Cricetulus griseus: one gene and its partner. The protein of the gene in region 1 purifies or fractionates together with the protein of each later gene. This does not show direct contact. Links are inferred from orthologs where the notes say so. Each region holds a gene or a part of one and is shown on either strand. Other genes may lie near its edges.

Region 1 (14,858 bases):
GGAAAATCCTGTGTTCTTTATTACTTTGTCCATTTCCCACTTTTTCATGCCAGGCCCATTTCACTGATGGCCTGTACGTTATCTGTCTGTCTAATGTGTCTATGTCTATGTCTATGAGTATATGAGAGGCGACAGCACAGACGGGAGAAGGTGTCTGTAACTACCGATGCTAATGGGAGAATCAGCTACATCTAGCTGGGGAGGCAGGACTGGAGATGGACCTGGAGTCTGATCTTGTTTGGGTGGGTGGGGAAAAGGAGGAGAAACAGGAAGGCGCTTCTAGGAAGTAGATGTCAGTTTCAAATGCTTACAGAATACCACGAAGACCATGTTATGGAAAGCGCAAAGAGTCCAAGAGTTCACATAACAATATTGTAGACAGAATGTCACCAGTGTGAGGCCTATGAGATGGCTGGTGAGAAAAAGGGGCCTGGAACCTGAATTTAATTCCTGGATTGTCAAAGACCTGTTTGTTCCTGGAACCCACAGCCTATGTGACAGAAAGAGGGAACTGACTCCTGAAAACTGCCCTCTGATCTCCACGTGTGAACTGTGGCTTGTTTGTGATTGTACACATGCATCTGAACACACACACACACACACACACACACACACACACGCGTGCACACACATGCACATACGCTCTATTATCAGTGTCTGAGTACTCTCCAAGGAAAGACAGTAATAGCTTTGTTTTGGTTGAATTTGGTCCACGCTTTCTCTCCCACTCATCACCATTATCCACAGTCATTATACAAGATTGCATGTCCAGCACTCAGTCCCCATTTGCCCTGCAATCAGGAACTTCTTCAAAGGGCTCTGACACTTTTTAGGGCTGTCAATCATTTATGAGTCTTTTCAGGGAGCCAGGAGCTTGCAGTTTTGTTTCCATAGTTAAGAAACAAAACGAACTAATTTTGATGTCTCCACTTACTACTTAAGATGCAACTTTAACTTAGATTTTCATCTCTTATATCAAGGTTTGTAATTTCTCATTTATTGTATCTGTAATGGATGAAAAATTATAAGGCCAATATTCCTACTAATAATAAGACCACTGAATTAAGTTTCTAATTTGTTGTTCTTTTCACCCTTAAAGTATAATCTACCGAGACTTTTCAGCTCAAACATTTTGGCTTGAAGTCATGATTTTCTTAATGATGTCATAATGTAAAACTCAGTTACATTTTCTTAATTTTCCGTACCCATTTTCCAAATTCTAAATTATTTTTTCTTTATTTTACTTTGCCCATTTCTCTAGAGAGTGTCAATCTTTTTTTTTAAAGAGTGTTAATCTTTTATATTTCAATTTTTGGGGGACACCTAGTTTTTAGGTGTGAATATTTCTTCTCAGCTGTTACATTTCATGTTGTTTGTTTGTTTTGGTTTGGGAGACAGGGTTTCTTTGTCTAACAGCTCTGGCTGTTCTCCAACTCACTTTGTAGATCAGGCTGGCCTAGAACTCAGAGACATTACTTGTCTCTGTCTCCGGAGTGCTGGGGTTAAAGGCATGTGTCACTACTGGCCAGCTTTTTGTTTTGTTTTGTTGTTTTTATATTTTTTTAAAATTTGCAAATGTTAATTTTTTTATATAGTTGAAATTAATTGGTTTTGAGTTTTAAGGCATAGTTAAGAATTCTTTTTTCCTAGATTGCAAAGTAGGTTTTCTTTTGGAACCTGAATTTTCTAACACATTTGAGATTTATCCTGGGATGTGGCTTGAGGCACAGTTTGGATTCTGTACTTTTCTAAATGGTACCAGTTGCCTCAACACTGTTTACTTAAGAACCCATTCATATAACTGATCTGAAACAGTTCTTTATCATATCATAAACTTGACCTATAATTGCATCTAAATCCAGCTTTCGCTATCCTGTTGGCCTGTCTGGTTACTATGTATGAATACCAACAATCTATAGCATCCTGCATAAACATGACCCATACTTGCATCTAAATCTGGCTTCTGCTATCCTGTTGGCCTGTCTGGTTACTATGTATGAATACCAATAATCTACAGTACCCTGCATGTTCACATCCAATTTTAACAACCCAGAGTACCCTTAATTTTCATAACCATTTTTTTAGCATCAAGTAAAGCCTGCTTCATGGCTCTCTACTCTACCTCTGGCCAATATTGCTTGTTTTTACAGTGCCCCTCCCCAACCCCCATTCCCCAACACTCTAAAGCCCATCTTCCCCTTAAAATCAGCTTCTCTGTTCCTGGAAAAGGAGAAGAAAAGAAAACAGCAGTATTTATTTAGAAATAACCTCGGACTTATAGACTAAAGGAGAACTGACAACTTTACATTCAGTCTTCTTAGTCTTTAGCTAAGAACAGGGCATACACTTAGGTTTGTTCAAGTCTACTTTTATGCTTTTTGTTTTGGCTTACAATTTTTATTACCTTTTATTTATTCATTGGGGAGGGGTACCACAGCACATATGTGAAGGTCAGAAGAGGACAACTTGTGAAAGTCGGTTCTGTCCTTCCACCATATGGGTTCCAAGGATCAAACTCAGGTCATGAGGCTTGGTGGCAGGTGCCCTTACCCACTGAGCTGTGTTGTTGGGGCTCATGCTTTGTGTTTTTGAGATAAGTCTTACTACTTAATCCAGGATGGTCTGAAACCTGTCTAAAAAAGAAAAGGGAAAAAAATATCTAAGGAGTGATGTATAATAGGAGGCAAAGCTACCTCAAAGCATAGGAAAGGTGGGGGAATGTCAGTTTTCTTTGTTTAAAAGAAAATCATTCTGTAGAATTAACACCACCTCCTTGTAAGTGGCAACAGGGGCTAACAACTCCTCTAGCCATCACTTTATAAGTCAGGGTCTTATGTGTTTTTGCCTTGCCTTGCCTTACCTTGCCTTGCCTTGCCTTGTCTGCCCTGCTGTAAGGAAGACAGCAGTCAACCCATGCAGTGACACTACCCATTACTGTCACTCACTTGATATGAACACAAAAATAACATTTTATGACTGAAAAGCAATTCCACACACTATTCAGTACTAATGCCTAATGGCCAAAGAATTGACAGAACTCTTGGAAAATACAGTTAGACTTTTGTGTGGTTGATCTAAAAGACAGGTGCACACAGTGACAACCAACCCAAAGCCCATGTGCTAGAATAAGAGAATATGCCCCAGTAGCTGGAAAACCCCTTGAGAACTTTGGGGTTGCAGAGATGAGATGGTGCCTGTCACTCGTGCCTTGTCAGATGTGGTGACTGTTTTCAGGCATGAGGCATTAGCTGGGCAGCTGAAGCAAATGCTCCAAAAGAGTCTGCAGCCTGGAAGGTCCTGTTGTATTGTTTTCTTTGATGTTTTAACAAAATAAATCACAGCATTATTGTCAGGCGCTTTTGTTATGAATCCTACTGTTAGCAATTGCATGGTTGGTTAGATTAACAGGTGATAATGAGTCAGTATTTGAAATGATGAGGCTTGCTTCGTCTGTTTATGAAATTCTAATTTGTTGTAAGTGGCTCAGAACACTTCATTTAAATTATCCTGTTTATGCAAGAAGTCATCTATTAATAAAAATGGTGTTAGCAATTTTTAAATCAGTGGTTTGAGACAGCATTACTTTTTAGTTTGTGGGCCAAATTTGGGTTAAATATTTTTAGCAGCTCCCAGTACTCTACTCTATATTATTTCTGTGATTGTTTACCATTGAAACTTATTAGATTGGTTGTTTTAAACGGTTTCTTCTTAAGTAAATGCATACATAGCCTTCCAAGTATCCAAGAGCATGTGGGTCCTTGGGGCTAGCTGATGTTAGGTAGTAATATTTTAGGGTACTGAGTTACACACACAAAAAAATAAGTTTGTAGTTGACTTCTACCCAAATGCAGTTCCTATCAGAAAAGTAGAAGAGATTATCCTTCATGCATAAAAACTTATTTTAAAAATAGCCAATTTTTAAAATTGCTTGCTTATCTACCAATTAGATAAGCAAGAAGGGGTATAAAAACACTCAAGCTTCTTTTATTTCCATCAAAAACGAAGTATCTGTGTTTTTTCCATTCCAGTGTAAAACCTGTTCTGAGCCAAAACAGATAACCAGTTCTTCCGCCATTTGTGACAACCCTAAGCTTATCAAACCTGTCCCGGTGAGACCCAGTAGTAGCCACAGGCTACAAGAACCCCCGCCCAACAAGGTATGCGTCTTCTGCCTTTTTGTTTTGTTTTTAAAAGAAAAAACATATTTTTCAGGTTTTGGAATTAAAATGTAATTACAATGTCTCCCCCTTTCCTCCCGCCAACCCTTCCCTTGTAAATTCCCTTTGCCTTCTCTCAAATTAATGACCTCCATTTCTTTAATTCCTAGATATTACATATCCCTAACTATATTAATACAACCTGTTCAGTCCAGGTTATTTGTCATATATATGTGTACAGTGTTACTCGTATGTACATGTTTCTAGTGCTGACCATTTGGTATTGGATAGGCAGTTAGTGTGCTCTTTGGTGGGGGAGACAGTGTCTCCAACTCTCAGCTTTCCTTAACTGACTGGAGTTCTTTGTCTAGGAGTGAGGCCGCATGAGGTCGCCCCTTTCAGGTCAGCTTGCCTTCGGTTGGTGTCATGCCACGCTATTCACAATAGCTAGGAAATAGAAACATCCTAAATGTCCTTCAGCTCATGGGTGGGTATGAAAATGTGGTGCACATATGCAATGGAATACTGTCCAGCTGTAAAGAGAACTGAAATCATGAAAATTTGAAGTAAATGTGTAAACCTAGAAAAGATAATATTGAAGTGAGGTAACTCAGACTCAGAAAGACAAATGTCGTATGTTCTCTCTCATCTGAGGCTCCTGGCTCCAGATCTCCCAATCTGAGTATATAACCTGGAGTAATTACAGAAACCGGGGGATTTTTATCTGTGGCCTCTCTGGGATTCTCAAAGAGCTTGACCCACGTACTGCAGGAGAAGGCCTGGCATTGCTGAGGGACACGGAAGATCAGTGGAGAAAGGCAGGGTCTTGTTGCTCTGTGCATGAACTAACTATGCAGCACCGGTGCCCTTCCTCGGGGACTGTTGGATTTACCACATGATGGGCTCGTGGCTCGTGAGCTGAGACCCCTTAGAAGATCGTATATTGTTAAAACAGCAGGTGTCAGGCAAGGCAGAAGCATAAACCTCTGGGTCCGTATTCTTCTGGGATAGGTGGCTTCTCAGGCCACTGGCGGAGCAGTCACCATGGCAGCACAATAAAATGTAACATTTCTGAGCACCACCCTATACTAAGCCTATACTATGCCAGGCACTGGGTGTGCAGCATGGAGTCCCTGCTGTGGATTAGCTTTGGGCCAGAGAGTAGTCAAAGCCCCACAGACCTGGGGCGGTATGTGTGTTGTGTGCTATTCAGAACAGTACAGCAGAGACAAAATTTGCTAATTAGCAAGGCCCATTGTTGATTGTAAGGGAACATGTCTGTTCCTTCATCAGAGTTATTATTCCTAAGTAAAGAGGTGGCTTTCAAGGAATTAGTTTAAATCAGTTCTGAAAGTGAGCATGAGCCAAAGACATAAAATGACTTGACTAATGAAAGTCTTGTTTTGAATTTTTCAAAAAAAGAAATGTTTTCTAAGTTATTTTAGCTTTTCGTATTTTCCATGAGAATCTATTTCATTTCAGTAGATAAACCAAGACACATTGACGTTAGAATGGAGCTTATGTTTTCAAGCAGAAGGTGGGGAAAGAGGGCTGGCTCAGGGGCAAGGAGGGCAGGAGTGGTGTAGTGGCCAGGCCACGGCATCATATACACCTGGTCTTTGCATGCTAGATTAAAATACTTATTTCTTTCTAGCCTTAGCTCTCTACAATGCCGTGAAAGCTGCCAGGAACCTGGAGCTCTTACATCCTGCTTATTTCTAGTACATTCTAGTTGTTCTCAGCAACCCTAGATGGGCCCTGGCTATAGAGATGGGTTACCATGAAGTACCGGCCATTTTATACTATAGAGTGTAGTTTTGTCCCCTAATCTGTGAGCTGCAGACCCCTCAAGGATTACATTCAAATATCAAATGACCAGATACTGTGGTCTAACAAAAGCCTTGGGGACAGAGAGGGGAGAATGCTGTAAAGATATTAGACATTTCAGAGGTATCGAACTTTTCGAGTTAATAAATTTCACCTCGGTCATTGATCCTTTGTAAACAGAGGAAACCAACAGTTAGCTGAGTTATGCTTCACAGCCTCTCCCTCCCATAACCAAACTATGTGAACCTATTTTTGGATATCTTTTTCCACCCCCAGACCTCGGACCCTGAGCCCCAACACTTATCTTTGACAGCTCTATTTGGGAAACAAGACAAAGCTCCATGTCATGAAACTCTGAAACCCTCTGGGACATTCACCCACCACCATCACCACCACCACCACCACCACCAACAGCAAGAGCAGCTTCCCATTCATCAAGGAGTTGCATGCCCCCTGTCCTATGACAATCCCAGAAGGCTCTCACTCCCCGTGGAGAAGCAACTATGTCCAGCCATTCAGAAACTCATGGTCGGGAGCACGGGGCTGCACCCGCTGCCACAGCACCCTCAACAGTGGCCCTGTGAAAGTGGCAGCCCCAGTCATGCAAGGGGAGTTCTCCCTGGTCCTGTCCACCTGGGGTCACCCTGGAACGGTGGGACTGCACACTGTGCACAGAGCACTTGCAGAAGCCACAAGCTGCTAGAGCAACTTCAAGGTGCTTCTGGGGCAGCACATAAGTTTAAGCCCTGTGCACCTGCCAGCCCAGCTGTGGCCACTCAGCTGGCTCCGTGCCAAAGCGTGGCTCACTCACAGCTGGTGTATTTCAGTGGCCCCCTTCCTCCTCCCACACCAGGACATCAGACTCTCAGGAAGGAGCAGTGTGCACTGCCAGCACAAGCGCTGTCCCTCTCCAGCCACCAGGAGAGCAGCCCCAGTGTGCTTCCTACTCAGGAGCTGCTGAGAAAGCTCCAGGTAGTACATCAGGGGCAGCAGCTGCAGGCGGCCCCACGGCCAGCCTTAGCAGCCAGGTTCCCCGTGTCAGCCCATGGCTCGGGGACAGAAAAGCCCTTGGAAGCCTGGGCCAACAAGACAGCCAGCATGGAGAAACAAGCTCCTCTTCCTCAGGTAAATATATACTGGGAGATGGCTGCTATCGTAATGCAGTGGGATTGGCTCTGCTACCGGGAACCTGTGTCACGTGGGTTTCCACTTAGACCAGCCACCCAAACCCCCCCCCCCAGTGTGTCTCTTTGTCTTTCACCTTGCCTTTCTGCCTAGAAAGAGAAGCTCCTGTCTGCTTACAGTCTGATGTCCTCTGCCAGTTAGAGGTGGTTTGTAAAGTTAAATCTTTACCATGTCCTAAGGCCCGAAGACCAGCCCAGATGTGGAAAAACAACTAGTCTTTGACTCTGAAGACCCATGGCAGTTTTGGGATGGAAACATCTGGCAGATTCTTGGCTTTCATCCTATGGTTGATTATTGCTTGTTCGTTGGCTCCACGTATGACTTTGAGTGCTTCCTACATGTTAGTAGCCACTTTACACAGTTGTGGAGAAAGCAGACTCTGCATCTCGCAGCCAACAACCCTGTAGGTTCCTAAAGTAAACAGACACGGCAGTAAAGATGCTGCTGTTTTTATTGCCTTCTAGGTGATCAGTATTGTGAAAATCCATCAGACACAAGTGTACCACCCACAAACTGCCAGAGCAGGGAACGGAGTGTCAGTTCTAGAAATAACGGATCTTTCTTGAAGGATAGGTGTCTGTACCCATCAGCAACTGGGTCGTCAGAAGCCAGGGATAGATAGATAGATAGATAGATAGATAGATAGATAGATAGATAGATAGATAGATAGATTATATATATATATATATATATATATATATATATATATGTTGGTCTTTTTGACATGTTTTATCACATAGTAGCTCCTCAGAAATTGTTCACATTTTTAAAACAAAGGCCCAGGGCACAAACCTTGATGTTTAGGTGTGTGGACCAAGTCAAGGTGTTTGTTTTTATTAAATCACAACTGCAGGTGCTTCCTGTTGCAAACAGAGGCTTTGTCCTCACTCTCACTGCAGTGCAGAGTACTGGCCCCTTACTAAATGTCTGCTTTCATTTGTCTTTGATGGTTTAGAATAAGAAAATCAGGGCTAATAATCAGACTCAGATCTCTGCATATACAATTCTCTTTGTTTTTAGTTCTCACAAATGTCAGGAACCAAATAAGGAACGTGTACCCATCAGCCCACGTGTGCTCCCCCATGATGCTGTGACTCCTCCCTTTGGGAGCATCAGCTCTCAACTCCTCTCTTTGGGCTGGCAAATAGGGAAAGCTAAACGAAACAAGATCCTGTCTCCCTGTAGGCCACTTTCTGCCCCCAAAGATGCCAAGGGAGTGATGATAAAATTACAGCCATGCCTAAATTGCTGTTTCTCAGCTTCCTTCTCATGAGTGCTGGAACACTCTGAGGCTGAGAAGTAAGGTACCTTCATCATCTGAGTTAGAGACACATGGTAGCTGTAGGAGTCAGTCAGACCCGGTTCAGAATGTCACTTGCATAATTGGGAAAGCCATTGAAAACTTGGTTTTAGACCTGCCAGTCAAGGGAATTAGACTTGGCAGACAGATAGTGATGGTGCTCCAGGATCCTGTGTCCATTCCTTGTTCTTCATCCCATTATCTGCCCATCATCCTCATGGTCACCCTGTCCCCACCCCCACACCAGCCAGGAGAAGCAGGAGGCATGCTTGTAGATAAACAAAGAAGGACCAGAGGGGGCAAATCTACAAATAACTGCTCCTCCTAGTCACAGGAGAGGTGTCTCCTTGAAGAGCCAGGGCTGGGAGCTGTGTGAGCATCTGACGAGCATATCCTGCCACTCCCACCAGTGACAGGACCTCAGGGCAGGGCAGTGGACAGCTAGTGCTGAGTAATCCAGCAATCCTAAATGCATGTTGCCTGAAAACTAAACTCACCAGCGGTCTAGCTTCATACACAGAGGTCATGGCATCACAGATGGTTCCAGAGCTGTGTAGTACCCCCACCCCCAAGAGTGGAACAGGAACAGACCTGTCAGCCGTTCCCACCCACTGAGCCGGGGTGATTCCCACTGAGCCCCTCTACCACCATTGTGAACAGGGCCTTGAATCTCTGGAGCTCTGTCGTGGGTTGTTTCCTTACCCTGCCTTGTGTGCGTGTCTTTGCTGTGAGCAGATCACCTCATCTCAGTGTGTCCCTGCTCCAGTGGCTTCTCTGCTGATGCCCCCTGTGGTTTTCACACAGTTCACCTGTGCCCCACTGAGGGAGACTGATAATGGGCTCATGCCCCTAGGAGGCCAAGAACTTGCTGCTGCCTCCTCCAGCCTTCTTCTGCCCCTGCAGAACTGGGAATCCTCCACCATGGCCAGCAGGCCCCTCACCAGGCTGCAGCTCCAGGAAGCACTGCTGAACCTCATCCAGGTAAGACTGTCGACCTACTGGTGGGCACCATGGCAGACTATATTTGCTGATGCCTTCTTTGGATGCCATAAGAGTAACCCCCACCTCCAATAGCTTCTAAATACAATTAACTGTGTGATATTTAGAATACTACTATGGCCTGAGATATCTCAGGCCTTCAAGAGATTTGTGCCAGCTGCAGGAAAGGGAGTGTGTGATGGTTGGCTAGTCAAGGCACTCCGGGAGCTCACTGTTGGGAGCAGTCACAGAGCCAGCCATCTTGGGCAAGCTACAGTTGTAGGCCGCACCGGCTGTGACTGCTATGAACATAGTTCAGCTATGGTTTTGAAACCTACTGTTCAGGAGAGGGTGGAATGATAGGGCGCCTTGTCAGCCCTGCCTTGAGTGTCTCGGCTATACTGTGGTAGTAGCGCCTACCGTACAGTGTGCCATGCACTGTTTAATAATTCATTCAGTGCCTATAGGAAAACCTATTAATATGAGCCAATGAAATCAGGTAAAGGGGCTTGCCACCAAGCCTGATGCCCCAGTCTTCTGACCACGTGTGTGTTGTGGCATATCCATACCTACACACACATCTACACACACATACACACACACACACACACACACACACACACACACACACACACACACACACACACGTATAAAAACAATTAGAGCCTTGTATTTGTCTGATTCTACAGGGAAATTGAGGCTTGTGTTGGTCTGGTGTTACACTGAGCCTGGTTGCAGTGTTCATGTCTCCTGTTGTGTGGACCATGTAGATTAATGTGTCAAGACTAGAGCACCATGTATCTGAGCACACTCCCAAGTGAGTGACAAGCCCTGGAAAGGGTAGTGCTTGAAACCACACAGAAGCAGACACCTCCACTAACGTGTTCAGGAATCTTCTTGAAAGTGTTTGTAGCACTCTGTTCCTCCCCGGACCCAGCAGCAGGAGAGCAGGCCAGCCTCTGTGGTTGTCTGGTTCTTCTGCCGATGTCTAGTCCCTATTAGTGAAAACATTTCTAAGATAAAGTTGTCTTAGAGAGAATGAAAAGGATGGGACTGACAGCAAACATCTGAATGGCAGTCCAGGATGTGGAGCCTTCCTGTTTTAATTATGTCACTAATCTTAAATATATGCACCATGATAGAAATATAGCCCACCTGCTCCCAATGAGTTTGTGAGAATTTAAAACAAATATCTGCACATTTATTTACCAGAACAATGAAGAAAAAACTAAACCTAAGTTTAGATTTTTAAAGATGCTTGCTTTTTATGGCTCATTCCAATTCTCATCACATTACCCTAAGGGTATATGTTGTGACTTAGATGGTTCACACTTCTACGTGTTGTGGATTTCATCTTCCTGATATATTTGCTAAAAGTCACTTGGGCATCTTTGTAGGAAAAGCAGAAATAACATCTCTTTCTTCGTGGCGTGAGAATGGCGCTAACTGTGGTATGGGGAGGGAGTAAATCAGGAAGGTGAAATGTAGTGACTACAGAAACTGTTGGATTTGAGTGGGAGGGGAATGCCTCTAGCATTAATCAAGAGAACTACTGCTTAGACCCAGAGTTCTCTCCCCTCCTTAGTGAGACAGAGGCTCAGAGACTACCTATCTACCACTGTACATTTGCCAAAACCAGAGACTTCCCACAGGTCATGGGAACAACCATGCTGCCTTTGTGAAGGTACCAATAAGCCAATCTGTGGGTAAAATCCCTGTGAATGCCCCCAACAGTGCAGACATTGTGGGCAACCTGGAGGATTTTTAGGAAGGACCAGCCAACTCCTAGGCTGTTGCCAAGGGACTGTGACTCATACCTTCTGGCCCATCCGGCACACAGCACAGCTGGCTTCCGCGTGGCGGGGTTGCTATCTGTGTCGGGTGCTATGAGCACATGGTCTTCACATACAGACTGTTAAATCCAGCAGCTCTGTCCCAACCTTGCCTCCAGCCCCTTTACGTCCACACACACCGGCCAACCCTGCTGTCAGCACAGACAGCAAAGTTAAGGCACTGAACCCAAGGTCAGCTCAGTCCAGGCAGGAAGCCTTGACTTCTGCTACTCAAGTGACGGTCCCCTGGGCCTGTTGGCTTTGTTTTCCAGAATGATGACAGCTTCTTAAGCATAATCTATGAAGCCTATCTCTTCAGTGTGACACAAGCAGCCATGAGAAAAGCCACTTAACCAACTACGTGAGAACAAAGACTGAGAATTGATTTTCCAGGTCCTTCCTGTGAACTGTGTGACCAAACACATTCCTGCCTTTTTAACAAAGTATAATAATACAAAGTAAAGTGGTTTTGTACTGTCCAATATCTTGGGGTTTTGTTGTTGTTCTTGTTCTTGTTTTTGAAGAATCAAATTCTCCTGCATACTAATTGAGTGGGTAGATGGTTTGCGTTCAGGTCATATAAAATTAAATTTTTCCTACATTTATAAGGCCATTTTAAGAATTGGGCTCTTCATAGGAGGGGATGTTCTCAGAGCTGTTTATTAATAGCTCAAGCTAAAGAGAGCAATTTCCTAGTGTTGGGCTCTGTGCGCCATGGTGCTTGATAACCACCAGGGGGCAATGTTACCCCACAAGTTACCTACTAAAGGTTTCCTGAGCTCTTGGAAGCAATGGTGATTGTTAACAAAGTCAGACTTTCATTTGTAAAGCTCCATTTGGCATGTTTGATCTGAGCCTCTGGGGAGAGAATCTTTCTGAAGGTATATCTAGCCAGTTTCTATCTAGAAGGTGTCAACAGTGGCCCAAGACTTGCAGCAACACTCACATTCCCTAATTCAGGTTACTTCTTGGGACACACACACAGTAGGACCAGCCTGGTCTTGCTTTCAACAGACACTCACATTTAGAAAATATGCTGAAGGGGAGGTAGCATGAGACTAGGTAGTGGCTATTCAGGGGCAGAAGTTCAAAGATTCTCCAGGCCCTGCAGCAGTCCTGTTGCTGGGCCATGTGCAAAGAGACCTGGAGCATAAACCTAGAGGGAGGCAGAAGAGCCTTGCAGTCCCCAAAGGGCACACATGGAAATTGACCCTGCTGCGTGCGGATGCGCAAAGAATAAAGCTTCATGATTTTAGCGTCTTAGTAATTCCTGAATCATAAAAGGGTCTTTGGCCTAGAGCTTTCTAGAAGAATCTTATTCTTTTTAAGGAGAATTTAAAATGGAGGCCCAGGTGGGATGGGATTTCCTTACAGCTTTGGGCTCTGCCCATCCATCGCAGCAGCAGGAGGAGCACCACCTGACCTGTATGAGGACAGGTGTGCTTTCCCCTGAGGCAGAACGGAGGGCTGAAGAGGAACTGAGCTCTGCTCGTCCGTCCTCACTGTGCCCTGTGCCTTGCCCTGCATCTACTGTATCAGCCTCTGGAAGGGATGTCTCCCATACCACCCAACTCTGCTATGAGCCCATATAAGTCTCTCAAATATTCAACAGTAATTATACACATCTCTGTAGTCTTACAAGGAGAATGAAGCAAGAGAGACATCCATGGTTCTATGGTCCTAAATCAGTAAAAACAGCATCACGCTGGTAACATGTCTATTAAAATTGGAGCAATATTAGATTGGCAATGTACCTCCCTGATAGGGCACTTGCCTATATAAGGTTCTGGGTCAAATGCCTAGCACTTAAAAAATGTTATTTAGCCAGTGACCAGTTTTTTAAAATGTGGTTTGGTGATAAATAAAATAAAATAGTGGAAGACATTTAAAAGCTCTCTAACTGCATGTTTAAAGATGCATCTGTAGCCAGGGCAAGATGAATTCCATTCTTAACGTTTCTCATATGTTTGTTTCAATGAATAGCTTTATTTCATAAAATAGTTTCCCTTTCTTCACATGAATAAGCAAAACTGTAGCAGTAGCAGCAGCAGCTGCCGCCCAACAGAGCAAGGCAGGATGGGAGGTCAGAGGACATGCAGCCTTTTTAGGCCAATGCTACAGTGATCTGTTTTGACAGAATGGCAGGTTCTCCATTGTCCACTGTAGTAAACAACAAGTCGATTCCTTTAGACCAAAGATGCCACCTGCAGGACAGTCAGGATGGGTGCTTACCTCCTTACCTCAGCAGGTGAGGGTTGCCTTCTACAGAGCTTTGAGGACACATGGACACAGGAGGGATCAGAAGGGTTTTCTAGGCACCCAGGACTGAACTTCCTATGTGAATTAGCATTTCCTCTTCCCATGATCCTCCTGAACTCACATTCAGCTTCCATTTCAAGATCTCTGCCCCAGCAGCAGTTTAGCCTGGAATTTCAGGTAGAGCCTGGAGTACTGTGCCTAAAGGCAGCTTCATCCAGGGTGGTGAGTGTCACCTTGCAGAGCCAAGGGAATCAGGTGGATGGGAGTAGAAGGTGGAGCATGAGTGGAGTCTCCTGGCCCTGCCTTCAGCCCTTGGACAAGTCTCTTTATGAGACACCTTATTATGAATTGAGAGACCTCACAGAGTCCAGAAGACTAAACTGTTATGGTCCAGGACTGCCTGCCAGCCATTGGGAATGAGCCACAGCTTCTGGGGTGGGAGGCTTCCAGCCAGTGCCCTGACAGTATATGCCTGAGGGCCACCTTGCTATGCACCCCCTACTTTATGGATGCAGTGGAAGCAGCCATGCCCCTTCTTTATGAAGGAATTCATGGGCTGCCACAGTGATGTCACTGTAATCCTGTGCCTGCCCCTGACTTGCAGGTAAAGTTCTATGTTAAGTTCCCATCGTTGTGACAACAACCCTGTGATGAATCCGCTCAATGAATAAATGTTTTACTTTGGTACAGATCCCAAGGATTTTTAGTGTGTGGTCGGCTGGCTTTATTAATGTGGGATCTGTTTATGTGAGGCAGAAAGCCATGGTGGAACAAAGCTGTTTGTCTTGTGGCAGCCAGGAAGCAAAGAGGAAGAAAAAGGAGGTCTGTGCTGGTTGGATTTATGTCAACTTGACACAAACTGGAGTCATTGGAGAAGAGGAAACCTCAATTGAGAAAATGTCTCCGTAAGATAGGGTTATAGGCAAACCTGTAGAGCATTTTCTTATTAGTGATTGATGGAGGAGAGCCCAGCCCATTGTGGGTGGTGCCATCTCTGGGCTGGTGGTTCTGGGTTCTGTAAGGAAGCAGGCTGAGTAAGCCATGGGGAACAAGCCAGTTAGTAGCACCCCCCATGGCCTCTGCATCAGATCCGGCCCCATATTCTTGCCCTGCTTGAGTTGCTGTCTTGTCTTTCTTCAGTGATGAACTATATGATATGGAAATGTACGCCAATTAAACTGGTTCCTCCCAACTTGCTTGTGGTCATGGTGTTTCATCATAGCAATAGTAACCTTAACTGGAACAGGGTCCCAGCATTCCCTTCAAGGGTCTGCTTCCAAAGGCCTCGCTTCCTTCACACTGTCCACTACCTCCCAGTAA
Region 2 (15,591 bases), on another chromosome or scaffold:
GTGCCACCAACGCCCGGCTAAAGAAGATTTTTTAAAAAAAATACGTATGAATGCTTTACACCTATGTATGTATGTACACTGTGTGCATGCCTAGTGCCCACAAAAGGCATCAGAGCTCTTGGAAGTTACAGATGGCTGTAAGCCACTACGTAGGTGCTGGGAACTGAACCCAGTGCTCTGCCAGAGCAGCCAGTGCTCTTAACTGCTGAGCCATCTTTCTAGCCCCATCACAAGAAAATATTTAAAAACAATGAGACATGAATACATTTCACAGCAGTGTACGGGAAACAGGTGCATGTTTATGTATGAATGTGTACGTGGAGGCCAGAGGTTGACATAGGGTGCATTATCACTCTCTTATTTTTTCAGTCTCTCAGAGAACCTGGAAGATTTGGTTTCAGCTAGACTGGCTAGCCTCTGAACTCCCAGAATCTACCTGTTATCACCTCCCAGTGCTAGAGTTACAGCCTGTACCACCATGCCTGGTTGTTATGTAGGTACCTGGGAGGCAAACTCAGGTTTGCATGCTTGTGCAGCAAACATTTCCTCAGTGAGCCACTTTCCTAGTCTCCTATGCTGGGGATGGTCCGGTGCAGTCCAAGCTGACTTTAAACTCATTACACAGCTGAGTTAAGGCTGTTTCCAACGTGAAGTCTCTCAATCAAACTGTCCCTGACAGAATTTTCTCAAATTATTGTTAAAAGAAAAATAACTACATACTAAACTGCTCTACTCAGAAGATATTTGCTAACCACTGAGAAACTCTAAACACCAAGTAAGAAAACATCAAATGCAGGATTTTCTTGAAAATAGGTTTTCAGTCTTTAATTTCTTCATCTCTCGCCTTCTTTCTTTCCCCATCTTCTGTTGTGGTACTATACATGCTATCAAAGCAACATCCCTTGCCCAATTCTGAATTTCAACCAGTCTCACAGGGACTTTGATTTTCCTAGCAAACCCAGTAAGATTTGACAAAAAAAAAAAAAAAAAAAAAAAAAAATCTGAATACTTCAAACATATGTATGTATATAAAAAACACATATACATATAATCATCTGCTAATGTATACACACACAAATACACATAGTGAGATGTAATTTAACATTTCACTTACTATCTGGTCCTTCTGACACAAATATTCAGGTCCCTGCTCTCTGGTCATCCACTCTGAAACCTTAGACTGGCTTTGCCTATACCTATTATTTTCCTTTTTCCCCTTTAAAAGTCTATAAGATACTTTCCTTAAATGCTTCCAATTAACTTCATGCCATGAAAAGCTACTTGCAACCAATTATTTAATCTTATTATTTTTTAAAACTATTTATGTGTTGGGGACAGCATGTGCATATGAACATAGGTGTTCTGGTATCCCCTGGAGCTTGAGTTATAAGCAGTTGTGAGCCGGGAACCAAACTCAGGTTCTCAGTGAGAACAGTATGTGCTCTTAATCACCAAGTCATCTCTCCAACTCCTAACCAATTATTTAAATAATTAATATATCCAAACATGTAAATTTTCAGAGCGAGGCAAGGATTTTTACCATTGTGATATACTTCCAGCTTTAAATTATACTTTTATAAATCAGGACATATCGTTAAAATTTTCTAACTTTTTGTTATTAGACACTATTTAAAACTATACAAATGATCAGTGTATTTGTTCTTGTTTTATTCTTTTTTTGGGGGGTGGGTGGGGTCTGAAACAGGGTTTCTTTGTGTAGCCCCGCTGTCCTAGAACTATCTCTGTAGACTTAAACTCACAGAGAGCCACCTGCCTCTGCCTCCCAAGTACTGGGATTAAAGGTATGTTTCATTGCCTAGCTCTTTTAAAAGAGGGTGTTATTTTGGAGCCCAGGTTGGCTTGGAACTCACCATGTAGCACAGCTTAGCTTCAAACTAGAGGAGTTCCATTTACCATAACTTCCCAACTGCTGGGATTACAGACATGAGCCACCACACCCGGAAATACTGTTTGTTTCTTTCTAGATGAAAAAACATGGAACACTTAACAGATCTGTGTGTCATGCTTTCACAGGGGCCATGCTAATCTTTCTATTACTCCAGTATTAGTATATGTGCTATGAAAGCAAGCACCAGAAATATTGTTTTCTATCAGCTAAAGCCAACAATATTTTGCTAGCAAGATCAAATTTTTAAAAAGGCAAAAGGCAATGGAATGATGTTAACTACCTTTTGCAGTGTTGCTTTAGCAACTACAGCTTCCCTAACTGGTGGGTTCTTGTGAGAAGCCTGTTGAACTTGGGAAGAAGCCAGCTAGCATCAGTGCCCAGATCCACAGCAGCTTAACAGTTTTCACTTACTATTTCTCCTAGTAGGACCACATTTTCTCCTCTGACCACAAAAATCCCTCGAGGAATATCACCGTACTTTTTGCCCACATGAATGCGCTCCACAGTTTGATGCAGCACTAAGTTAGCTACAAGTACACAGAGAAGAAACATTCAATTATTTAGTTATTTTTAAATTCCACTGATTATAACCAACCATTTAGGAGAATTTGTTTTATTTTTATTTTTTGGCGGGAGGGGGGAGGGAAGGATCTCATTCTAGCCTCACTTGACCTGGAAATCATGATGGAATTCAGGCTGTCTCAAAATTTATGATGATTCTCCTGCCTCAATCTCTTATACACGCTGTGATTACAGGCAGAAAGCCACCATATGTTCAGTTTTAGGAGACATTCAAACAAGTAAAGAATATTTTCCATTATTTGTGCTAATGAATGAATGAATGAAGGCAGGAGTAAGTTACTTCTGTATTATTTAACTGCTAGTATCTCTAGAAAGATAGAAACAAATAGAAATCTTGAAAACCTGAGCCTAGACAACTGCCAAGATTAAAACTGTTTTTTTGTAAGTACAAACATACCTGGTAATCTCAATATTCACTATTTATCCCTTCAAAGCACTCAGTTGAATTTAACTTAAGATTGAGAACAATAACCTGTAGGAATATTTTTTCTTTCAATTAGTACTACTTGTTTTACTTGAAGTAAAACAAAAATTGATGTTTGTATTCTTTTTTTAATTTTGTTTTATGTTATGTACATTGGTATTTTGCCTGCATGTATGTCTGTGTGAGGGTGTTGTATCCCCTGGAACTGGAGTTATAGATAGTTGTGAGCTGCCATGTGGGTGCTGGGAATTGAACCTGGGTCCTCTGGAAGAACAGTCAGTGCTCCTAACCCCTAAGCCATCTCTCTAGCCCTGTGATGTTATCTTATTGTCTTGGTTTGAGATTGTTCTTGATCTGTTTCCAAAGGCTCATGGCTGGCTGTTTATTATTTTCTAAATTCCAGTGGTTTAGCTAAGTTTTTCCTCACATTCCAATCTGGTGATCTAACAGATGACCTATAAATGTTCAGTGTGAACTCAGAAGCATCTCATACCAAAGATTCTTACTTCAGAAAATGCAGACTACAAAATGAAAACTAACTCCCAAATCTGACATATTCGTATATGTAAACTATTGAGTTTATTGTCCCCCTCCCCCTTAACAGTTTCAGGAAATGGCTTCTACTCTATTTTCAGGGGACAGGGAGGGATGACCACAGGAAATGATTTGAAGACTAACCTTTTTTCTGTCATTTGGCTCCCTCTAATGGGGAAATAAAAACACTAGTGAAAATCAGTTTCAGTTCACTTTGCTGACACATGGGGAAAAGTTAAGAGTAAAAAGATGAGTAAATTTGAATATAAAATGACACCAAAAAAATTCAATGTTGAGTAAAGGGTGAGTTCATAACAATACATACCAAACTGATCGATGCTTCTTAGAAAACCTATAAGTGTCCTTCCATCTCGTAGCAGGACCAAGTGCTTTTCTGGGGAAAGGAGAAAAGATCTTTAAAACAAAAGCGACAGTTCCAGTGAGCTTATATGGTAACAATAAAAATTTAGTTACTAGCTGTTTAAGCTGGACCCTCTTCTAATGTTTTTAGGGTGGTGTTCGTTGTAAGACTTGGGAGGGAAGACTAGGGCAGGCTGGGATTTAGATGAGATCAGTGTTGGAAAGACTCAGTGGTAGAATTACGTCATGTGACAAATACAACAGAATAATATATAAGACAGCATGATAGTAGAATGAAGAACACACCAAAGTGGCTATACCAAGTGTGGAGGGGAGCTCTCTCTGAAGAGATAACTTTAGAGTGACAGTAAAGGATTAGAATAAGCCAGATATTAGAAAAGCATACAAGATTTTAACCACTCATTTCTTTAATGCTATGCATAAAGTACTTTTGTTTGTTGGTTTTTGTTCTGGCTGTCCTGAAAGTCATTCTGTAGACCAGGCTGGTCTCAAATTCAGAGATCGGCTGCCTCTGACTCCTGAGTGCTGGGATTAAAGGTGTGAGTCACCAATGCCCAGCATAAAGTACTTTCTATATGAAGAGAGGAGCTATGATTCTTCCCTAAGGAATTTATAGTCATATTAGGCTACAACTAATTATCACAATCAAGCAAATCTTACTTAAGAAAGAAACTACACCTATCCCAGTTGGACCTAGAAGGATAAATTTTGTCTATGAAAAGGGAAAGCAAAATGAAAAAAAAAATCTAATAAATAAAGCATACAGAGGAAAAGTAGTATATTAACATTTGTCTCAAAGTTAAAGGAAAGAACAGGAGTTAAAGTCAGAAAAGTATTAGAGGCAAGCTTTAACTTCAAAAGGAATAAGAAAACACTGAAGACTGGTACATGGAAAATAGGAGTTACGATGCTAAAATAGGTCTATAATGCCTACAGATTTAGAGAAAACAGACCAAACAGGCAGCTCTGACCACCTGATCTAGAAAACAGTAATGTCCAGAAAGATAAGGAAATTAGCAAGAACTAGTGTTAGAGAGACCAAGAAATCAATAGAGGGATGGTGAGAGGGCTCAGTGGTTAAGAGCACTGGCTGCTCTTACAAAGGACCCGGGTTCAATTCCCAGCACCCACATGGTGGCTCACAACCCCTATAACTCTAGTTCCAGGGGATGCTACTTCCTCTTTTGGTCTCCCCAGCAGCAGGCAAGCACAGAGTACACAGACATACATACTCATATACATCTTGTTTTTTTTCTTTAATGTTGCTTTTAAAATGCTGTGTGAAAGGCCGGACAGTGGTGATGCACACCTTTAATCCCAGCACTCGGGAGGCAGAGGCAGCTAGCCTGGTCTACAGAGGGAGTTCCAGCATAGCCAGTGATATTACAGATAAATCCTGTCTCAAAAAAACAAAACAACAAGAAAAAGCTGTTTGAGGAACCAGGTAAGAATTTAGGGGTAAAAATTAAAGTGTGGGCTGGAGAGATGGCTCAAATGAGCACATGTTACCCTTACAGAGGATGAGTTCGGTTACTAGCACCCACACTGTGGCTCTCAACTGTCCTTAACTCCAGTTCCAGGTTGGGCAGTGGTGGTGTATGTCTTTAATTCCAGCACTTGGGAGGCAGAGGCAGGCAGATCTCTGTGAGTTGGAGACCAGCCTGGTCTACAGAGTGTGTTCCAGGACAGCCCCCAAAGCCACAGAGAAACCCTGTCTCAAAACAAACAAACAAACAAAAAACAACTCCAATTCCAGAGGATTTGATGAAGAAAAGGGTATCTGACTTCGTGGATACCAGGCACGCACACGGTGCACGTACATGCAAGACATGCAAATATAAACAATAAAAATCCTTAAAAGAAATTGTATCCTCTTGGTTTATACAGAACTGACCTATTTTCAGGAAAAGCAAAGCTGTCGAACAGAAAAAAAGTAAGTCTGAAGAGACTTCGCCTTTCTAAAAAAGTCAGTTATTACAGCTGACACCTGCCCCACTTTAATCTGAAAGCGCTAACGACCCTCATAGAAAAAGAAGGTTGCAAGGGGCTACACAACAGAAAACCTGCGCTGACTGCTAATTAAATTCAACTGCTGCCGTCTTAACATTTTCGGGTTTTGGTGGGTCCTCCTAGAAGCACTCAACCATCTGCCGTCAAGTATAACTTGCAGGAAAGGCAGGGTACACGAAGGAAGTCGCCTGGGTCACTTCACAGTTCGCACGTCGGATGCTGCGCCCCTCGGAAGGAGTTCCACAGGGTGAGGGTCCCCAGTCCAGGGGCAGGGGAGGCAGGTTAGGGATGGGCTCCGAGGCTGTGAAGGCAGACCAGCCCGCCGGGGCCAGGGCTCACTCTCGAAGCTCCGTCTCGAGGGGAGCCCTCTCGAGGAAAGGTCCCACACCAGGCTTCCCCCGGGGAGAGGTACTCACTGTCGATGTCCTCGATGAGGCTGGCGGTGCCGGGCATATAGTTCATTTTGAGCTCAGGCAAGGCTGCCCTGGACAGCCACGGTGGGCGAGGGCATCCAGTCGCCCGTCGGCGGGACACGGACGGGAACCCGCCGCTCACCTGCAACTCAATTGCCGCTAGTCGCCGGAAGCGCTTTCAAGTTACCCCACCCACTTCCGGTATCGCCTGTCCGTCCACAGAAAGAGGCGTGCCGGGCGAGCGGTGGTGGGCAGCGTCTCTTCCTCTCGGGGCAGTGAAGTGGAGTCCAGATCGACTGGACGGAGGGCGGGGAGACAGGCGTTTCCCCCGCGCGTCACGAGTACCGTGTCTCTCCGCTTTCCTGCTCCGAGCCCCAGAGTGAGGGGTACGCTCCATCCCAGGCTCGGCGCTCGGCGTGCAAGGGGCGGGACTTGCTCGGGATTGGCTGCAGCCGTCCGACCCCTTTCGCCGCCGGCCAGTACCTGTCGCCCGCAGGCGCCTGCGCAATGGGCCGGCCGTGGGGGGCGGGAAGCGCTTCGCGGCAGCGGAGCCCATGTCGGCCCTGAGGCGCTCGGGCTACGGCCCCAGTGACGGCCCTTCGTACGGCCGCTACTATGGGCCCGGGGGTGGCGATGTCCCGGTGCACGTACCTCCGCCCTTATACCCTCCTCTTCGGCCCGAGCCTCCCCAGCCTCCAGTTTCCTGGCGAGGGCGCGGGGGCGCCCCGGCCGAGACCACCTGGCCCGGAGAAGGCGCAGGTGGCGATGCCTACTACCCCTCCGGAGCCGCCTGGGCAGAGCCGAGCAGAGCCGGAGGCGCACACCAGGTAAGCTTCGCAGTCTTTTCCCGGGACCCAGAAGGGAAGTCTTGGGCGGAGGTGAGGACCATTGGGGGTTTTATACTTAGGGTTTGTTACGACTCGGGTTTCTGATTTGTTCTTCTTCTGGGGAAGGTGCAGAGAAAGAGACTGGAGACGTAAGTGAGGGGATAGATGCTTGTGTTCCATTTGTCCCTTCATTTTTACTTCAGCCGTCATAAGAGTGCCAGTTATCACCAAAAAAAAAAAAAAAAAAATTATTCTGCGCTGACTTCCTAAGCTTAGTAGCAGGCTGCAGGAATCTGTCTCCCGAGAGCGTAATGTAGGGTGATTGGGCTGTAAAAATTTATCCTGCGTGGCTCGGGCAGCTGCAGTCCCAGGCGTTACTCAGCAGCCCCTCCCGCGGGGGAGGGGTGGGGGGGGATCCATCATTTAGTCCCTTATCACTAAATCTTTGCCTGGGATTGAATCACGAATAATCAATGTTGCAAAGTACCTTTATGTTCTATTTAATCACCACAAGGCTGAAAGACAGATGTTATTAATGCTTCCCATTTGTGAAAGAAGGCGGCTCTGGGAGATTAACTTGCCTAATATATTTGGACCTGTAACATTTTATTACCTGTATACATGCCAAAAATGTATTCCCATTTTTTTCCTTGTAAGGAGAAATGGTATAGGATGGTGGCACACATCTTTGGCCTTCATAACATCCTTATTTTCTGAAAATGAACTATAAAATTTCCCAATCATTAATGATGGGATTGCAAAATACTACAGTGCTTTGGGAAATAGCTGGGTAGTTTGTAAAATTTGTGGCAGAGAATTAGCTTGTGATCTAGCAGATCCACTTGTTAAGTATACTCAAGAAATGGAAAACAACAAAAAACAAAAACAAAAAAGAAATGGAAGACATGTCCACCTAAAAAGTTGTTTAACATGTCTTCATAGCATCATTAATCACAACGGCCAAAAACTCATGTAGTTATCAACTGATGGCTGGATTACCAATGGCTGGATACAATAGCATATGTTCTAAAACATAACATCCAGAAAGTAATGAATTCTCTATTCAATTTGTTTCAACGTGGATGAACCTTGAATAGATCATGCATGGTGGGTGAAGGTAGTCACAAGGATTGAGTTTCATTTAAATGTAGTGCCACCGTAAGAAGTTCCTAGAGACAGAAACATTAGTGGCTGCTGGAGTTGGAGACTGGAAGGAAGCATTGAAAAACTGGCCTCTGAAGTGTTAGTGTTCTGAAGTTAGTGATAAGGGCTTCACAGTTTTGAGTACCTTAAAAACCCCTGAATTGTACATTTTAAAAGGGTGGACTAAGTATTTCTCTAAAACTTGTGTAAGAATGAATACATGCAGTACTAAGAGGTTAACGTAAAGAAGAATCCATATTTTCTGTGCTGATTCCATAAGTAAGATGGAATAAGTAGGCTGTTGGACTTTTATGGTCTAGCGATGAAGTACTCGCCCAAATTAAAGATCAGTTGATGAAGAAAAGGAGTGATCTTTAAACTGCCAACTGACTTCTATTGAGTTTTCTATATTATCAAACTCTTAAGTCTGTTTTCTGGAGTAGAGATAGAAAAAAGACTTGCAAAAGTTAAAGTTCCAGTGTCATGTAGAGAGTTGTGAGGTTTGGTTGGAGTAAAGCTGTTCTAATAGTGTAGGTTATGGTGCTAGAATAGTTTGACATAGAACTGGAAACATATAATGGGCATTTATAAATCATTTTAAACTTTACTTTTCAGGGTGATGATCCTGAAACTTGAGAAGTTAAGGATTGGATTTCATTTCTTTTCTTTTTCTTCTCCTCCCACCCCCCAGATAGGGTTTCTCTGTGTAGCCCTGACTGTCCTGGAACTCACTCTATAGACTAGGCTGGCCTCAAACTCAGGGGTCTGCCTGCCTCTTCCTCGGCCTCCAGACTGCTGGGATTAAAGGCATATGCCACCATGCCCAATGAAAGGGTAGAATTTCTTATACAGCCAGAAAAAAAAAAAACAAAAAAACAAACAAAAAAAAACAAATCAAAGATATGCATGTTGCCATAGACGTACGTTTTTTTTCAAACCCACAATCTAACTTTATTGAATTTTAGTAAATTTTATAATATATCTTAGAAACAAACAAACAAAAAACCAAACCAAACAAACAAACAAACAAAAACACTACTAGGGAAATGCTCTGTGGCCAAGGTGCTTGCCTTGTATGTGAAGTCAGGGCATTGGCTCCCTAGACCCCGTGTAAATGCTGGGTGGCTTGTCTGTGATTCCAGCTTTAGAGGGTAGAGTTGGGATCCTTAGATCTAGCTGGCTGGCAAGACTAGCTAGCAATGCCAGAGAGCTGTGGTTTTTGATTGAGAGACCCCACCTCTTTGAGTGAGATAGAAGAGCAATTGAGGGAATCAGCCTCGGGCTTTAATATGCATGTACAGTGTCCTCACATGCGGAAAAGAGGGGTATAGGAATTTTTTTCTTTGTTTTCCCCCTAATGGTGAGACTTGTACCCAGGGCCTTGTATATTCTAGGCATATTTTTTATCAGTGACCTGCCTATAGCTGCAATCCTACAGGAAACTTTAAAAATCTACCTAGAAAGTGTGATCTGTGGGTAGCAACCTTTACTATCACTGCAAGGCTGTTAGAAATGCAGAGTCTTGCAACTGATTCATGTGCACAGCAAAGGGTCAAGTACGTTGAGGAGCTTACTCTGAACACACAAAGACTTGATTTTACTCATTAATTTTTCCAAGATGGGTCTCTTGTATCTTAGGCTGGCCCCAAACTCACCATGTAGCCAAGGATGATCTTGAATTTCTGAGCTTCTTGCCTCTACCTCTCAAATTCGTAGTATAGGTGAGCTCCACCCTACCTGTTTTGTTTTTTTTTTTAATTAACAAATTTAAATATGGTATAGAGGAAAACTGGAAATCTACTTTTACCAGGTTTGGTTTGGGGTTTATTGTTTGTTTGTTTTGTTTTGAGACAGGGTTTCTCTGTGTAGCTCTGGCTGTCCTGGAACTTGATTTGTAGACCAGGCTGGTCTTGAACTCAGACTAGCCTACTTCTGCCTCCTAAGAGCTGGAATTAAAGGCTTGTGCCACTACCACCAGGCTTTCATCCATTTTTTTGAGAGAGCAACTTCTAGGGCTGGAGAGATAGCTCAATGGTTATGAGCATTGGATACTCTTCCAGAGGACCTGGGTTCAATTCAGCATTCACATGACAGTTCACAACTGTCTGTAACTCTAGTTCCAGGTGGTCTGTCGCCCCCTTCTGGCACCAGACACACATATGATGTATTTACATGCATGTTGTTTGTAATATTTCTTTCTATTCTGTTGCCACTGCTCTTGGTTGGCCACCAGAGCTAGATGGTAAAATCCTGTTGTTGAAGATACTTAATGAGTTGTTTTCAGGACAGAGAAATTAAAGTGAAACTGAGCTGGAAGCTTTCTCCCTGCTGGCTAACTTTCATAATGCCTTGAGTTGCTATGCAAGCATCTTGGGGGAAAAAAAAAATCCTAACAGTCTTAACCAGATATGGACCCATGCTAAACCACTAACTTGCCTACCAAAATGTGCCCACTTATGTGATAGTGGTGTGACTGTTATAGGGTTAACAAATCACTTCGTGTTTGAGTCCCACTACAGGAGAGAATTGCTGTTTTGCTAAATGAACAAATTGTGCCCACTAAAGATCTTCCTTCAAATTACTTATGTAAACATAAGTTTACAGATGCTCACAGATGAGTGCTATTCTCAGGTTTGGTCAAAGGTTTGCTGTTGTTGGTAGTGGTGGTGGTAGGGTTTATGTGTGTGTTATAGTGGGTGGTGATTAGTGCTGAGACTTAACAACTGGTTAATGTGCTGGAAAAAAAATGTGACTGTTGAATGCTCAGCCCTAAATGGGACATATATTTTATCCTTCCAAGGCTCAAAGAACATTAAGGAAGTGGGGGATGGGAATACTAAGAGCCAGAGAAAGGAGAGGGCTGTTAGGGAAGACTGTCTTCTGGGTGTGACATGATCGTTGCATTGGTGAAGTCACAGTAGCTGTGATTACCTGCGCAATATTGGGCTTAGCAGCACTCTGTAACGGAGGAGAGACTCATGCGACTCCACCTTTCTGAGGATTTGTAGGCCATAAACATGCTAGTAGAGAGTGGCTGACAAGGCCCCACCCCTTCCAGAGGCACCATTGACAGTTAATCGTTGCTGGGGGTGGGTTTGGGTAGTCTTCAGTGATGTAGCCTCTGTTATGCTGTCTGTGCTCCTGTGAATAACTCTTCATCCATGCTCATTGGAGCAACCCTGATTAAATGTACTCAGATTGTTGTGGAGTGTGGGCAAGCCTACTGTGTAGTCTGTGTAATTGTTAGCAGTGCTGAGTGTCTTCTTGAGATACACAGCAATAGTGTAAAGTGAAGACAGAAGAGAGCTTGGCCAGGCCTGCAATCCCATCTCATGAGGTAGTTTAGGATGAAAGGTTAGAAATTTTCAGACCAGCCTGGCAACTCTGTAGAACCCTATGTTAAAGTAAAATAACAAATGGCTAAGGATGTACCAAACTGATAGAATACTTGCCTAGCTTCTTAAAACTCTGGGTTTAATCCCCAGTATGGGAAGTAAAAAAGGACAAACTAAAAACAAACAAACTAGAGAGCTGCTTGTGTTTTCTCTACACAGTGGATAACTCCATTTCAACAGGGTTTGGTTTTTGTGAGGTGGGTATCTGAAGAAAGAAAAGCAAGGGATATGGTGTTAGGAAGCTGAGTCAGGAAGAAAGCTAATGGATAGTGTGGACGATACTGGTAGTAAAATTTGAACCTGAAAGAGTCAACTGGAAGGACAGTCCCTTGATGGAGTTCTTAAGATTTAGACTTGGCCCCACCACCCCTAGGGCAATCAGCTTCAGCCCTTGTCTTCTCATGTCTTTACTCATGATTTAAAGTCGTGGGAAAGAGTGTAGATACACAATAATTCCAGGTTTAATCCAGCATAACCAACAAACCACAAAAACCAACAGACAAAACCCTCTTCTTTAAAGGAAATAAAAATGGTTTGTTATGAGCCAAAAGTACACTTAAACTCTTAAGTTCAAAGCCTAGTAACTCACCTTACTGAATAATAAACACATCATGTGTTAAACTAGATAGTCAGTGCTTTGGAAAAGTTTAAGAATTGGTTTGGGGGATTCTTACAAGAGTTTAGTGGCTTTATTGCAATTTATTTGAGGACGCAGCCTGAAAAGATGTCATCACAGCTAGACTTACTCCTTCAAGGGTGATTGTTCTATATGAGTTGATGGTACTGAAGTTATAGGTTGTAAGCAGAAAGCTTAGCCATAGGAAAAAGCACTAGAATACAAAAAAAAAAAAAAAAAAAAGATGTATTTACGTGTAGTAACTTGAGTAGTAATAGTTTCATATTCTACCGTTGTTATGTTAAGTATTATCCTAAATAGTGACAAATAACTATGTTAAACAGGCTATTTCATACCTGAAACATTTAGGACCAGAAATACTTCAGGTTTCAGATTTTTGAAGATACCTGCATAAAAATCATGAATTATTTTGAAGGCAGGACCTAAATGTAAACATGAAATTCAAGAATGTACAACTTTTACATGTTTGTAAACTTTAAAGGCAACTAACTGTACAACATTTTAATACCCCTGCATTTATTTGTTTGTTTTGCTGTGCTGAGAATGGAACCTAGAGCCTTGAATGAGCTTGATAAGGACTCTACCACTGAGCCACTCTCTCTGTCCATTACATGCATTTGACTGCAGCTCATTACCCGAGATCAAGTGTGACTTTTTCCTCCTGGAATGCCATATCAAAGCTCAAAATATCCAGAATTAGGGCAGTTTGGATTTCAGATTTTCAGATTGGGTATACTCAACATGTACTGACAACTGGAATTGGGAGAAGGCAAATTACTGTCTATGGTTTTGCTATCCATCTCGACATAGAATCCCTTTTATTATCATTTCATTGTATGGTGGATAATGCATAAGATTACTCTTCTTTTGTGTGTTGTTGTTTTTTGTTTTTCGAGACTGGGTTTCTCTGTGGCTTTGGAGGTTGCCCTGGAACTTGCTCTGTAGACTAGGCTGTCCTCGAACTCAGAGAGATTCACCTGCCTCTGCCTCCCGAGTGCTAGGATTAAAGGCATGTGCCACAATGGCCGGCCAAGATCAGTCTTTTACCAGCTATTCAATAGTTGTTTTGTTCTGGGGCATGTGATATACTTTGTACTTATATCTTTTTAAGTTTAATAATTATAGTGGCCTTATAGTAGGGCTCCTTTTGTTGTCTGGTGTTCCTTTTGATTCCCATTATCTTGCCTCTTGTTAGAGGTATCCATTTTCCCATCTAACCATTCGTTATTAAGAGTGAATTGGGCCAGGCAGTACTGGTACACGCCATTTCTAGCATTGAGGAGGCAGAGAAAGAGAGGCAGGAGGATCTCCGTGAGTTCAAGGCCAGCATGGTCTAAAGAACGAGTTCCAGGACAGCCAGAGCTGTTAAACAAAGAAACCCTGTCTCAAACAAAACAAAATTTAAAAACAGAGTGAATTGAATGTGGTAATGCACACCTGTAATTCTAACTGGGAATTCTAGCTAGGGGCAGGAGGATTGCAAGTTTGAGGTCAACCTGGAAATAAATAGGGAAACTGTTCGAAATGAAAGCATCAACAACAAGAAGAATGCTGTTTAAAATTAACTTGTTTTCCCTTTTTCCTTAGGAACAATCACCATACCCTGGCTATAATTCCAACTACTGGAATTCTGTGCGACCGAGGGCTCCATACCCAAATGCATATCCTGTGAGACCAGAGTTACAAGGCCAGGTATGACTGAAAATTGAGATTTTCTGTCTTTTTTCTTTTTTTTTTTTAAGACAGTTTTATATAGCACAGGATGGCCTGAAATTGTGTATAGTTGAGGTTGACCTTGAACTTCTTGATCCTTGTGGCTCCATCTCACAAGTGCTAGGATTATAGGCCCCTGTTACCACACTCAGTTTTATTTAGTGTTACGGATCAAATCCAGGGCTTCATGAACACTTAAGTAAGCACTCTACGAAGCTTTAATTAAAAAAATTATTAGCAAGCCGGGTGGTGGTGGTGCATGCCTTTAATCCCAGCACTTGTGAGGCAGAGGCAGGTGGATCTCTGAGTTCGAGGCCAGCCTGGTCTACAGAGTGAGTTCAAGGACAGCATCCAAAGCTACAGAGAAACACTGTCTCGAGGGGAAAAAGAAAAAAAAAAAATATAATATATATATATATATATATATATATATATATGCATTTATTAAGTATATATAATGATGGGTCTCATTATGACATTTTCCTTTTTTATTTTATTTAATTTTCTTCATTCTATATGTTTTGATCATATTCTTTTTTTTTTCCCCCTGTATCTTTGGAGCCTGGCCTGGAGCTTGCTCTGTAGACCAGGCTGGCCTCAAACTCACAGAGATCCGCCTGCCTCTGCCTCCCGAAGTACTGGGATTAAAGGTATGTGCCAGCACCACCTGGCTTTCAGGGAACGACTTTTGAGGCTGCAGCAACAAGTGGAGATAGTGCAAGTTCAGAGAAGGCACCAGGTTCTTTGCCAGCAGGAGTATGAGAGTGGCTAGACTAGAAATTGAGAGTGATCAACCAGAACTAACTGGTGCCAGAGTGATGGTATCTGGGGTTGGGGTTTTACATTGTTAGATGATTTGCAAATCAGCTATATAGTGCAGTTGGTGCTTCCCATGCTGTTATTGATGCTGGCTTTGTTCCTAATGGCATGCAGCTTGGTCAGACAGGAACTTTATATTGCTGTCAGGATGTCTGGAGCCGTCTAGTATTTAGACAACAAGGTAATTGTAGCTATTAACAAAGACCCAGAAGTGCTGATTTTCCAGATGGCATATATGGAATAGTTGCAGATTTATTTAAGATGGTTCCTGAGATGACTGAGATAATAAAGATTTAAACATGATCATGCCTTAAGAAAACTGTCCAGGCAGTGGAGTCACACGCCTTTAATCCCAGCACTCAGGAGGCAGAGGCAGGCAGATCTCTGTGAGTTCAAGGCTAGCCTGGTCTACAGAGTGAGTTCCAGGACAGTCAGGACTGTTTCATAGAGAAAAACCAAAATAAGGGGGAAAAGAGGATGCAGAAGCAGAGATAAGAAGAACCGCAAGTTTAGCACTAACAGAGGCTTCACAGTGAATTCCAGAGTAAGACCCTTCTCAGACAGACAGGCATATAAGTGAAATTGAAAATAAGAAAGAGTAAAAATAACTGTTTGTACTGTCCTAATATGGTTGTATTTGGGAAATGCGTCTTCAGCCTTTCCTTTGTCATCTGTATATACCTGAAACACTTACATATCTTTTAAATGTTTTAATCCATTTTTTCCATAGTCTGTCTGTGTGGAGTGTGCCACAGTGTACTTGTGGAAGGCAGAGGACAGCTCTCAGGAGCTATTTTCTTTTTC

The links.
Region 2: the proteins of Dcp1b (region 1) and Bag4 purify together in Homo sapiens (affinity purification with mass spectrometry; 3 studies listed by BioGRID and IntAct, counting the BioPlex papers as one, with this or other methods). This does not show direct contact. The link is inferred for Cricetulus griseus from reciprocal best matches to the Homo sapiens genes DCP1B and BAG4.

Annotation. Positions count from the first base shown.
Region 1 is NC_048601.1:25,658,233-25,673,090, reverse strand, and holds the end of Dcp1b (mRNA-decapping enzyme 1B), read left to right. Parts: intron 1-4,028; coding exon 4,029-4,157; intron 4,158-6,260; coding exon 6,261-7,109; intron 7,110-9,273; coding exon 9,274-9,450; intron 9,451-11,551; coding exon 11,552-11,632; 3' UTR 11,633-11,763; downstream 11,764-14,858. UniProt on the Homo sapiens protein: May play a role in the degradation of mRNAs, both in normal mRNA turnover and in nonsense-mediated mRNA decay. May remove the 7-methyl guanine cap structure from mRNA molecules, yielding a 5'-phosphorylated mRNA fragment and 7m-GDP.
Region 2 is NW_023276807.1:57,992,758-58,008,348, forward strand, and holds the start of Bag4 (BAG family molecular chaperone regulator 4), read left to right. Parts: upstream 1-6,748; 5' UTR 6,749-6,807; coding exon 6,808-7,080; intron 7,081-13,842; coding exon 13,843-13,947; intron 13,948-15,591. Other genes in the region: U6 snRNA-associated Sm-like protein LSm1, read right to left, coding at 2,321-2,436, 3,775-3,843, 6,257-6,302. UniProt on the Homo sapiens protein: Inhibits the chaperone activity of HSP70/HSC70 by promoting substrate release. Prevents constitutive TNFRSF1A signaling. Negative regulator of PRKN translocation to damaged mitochondria.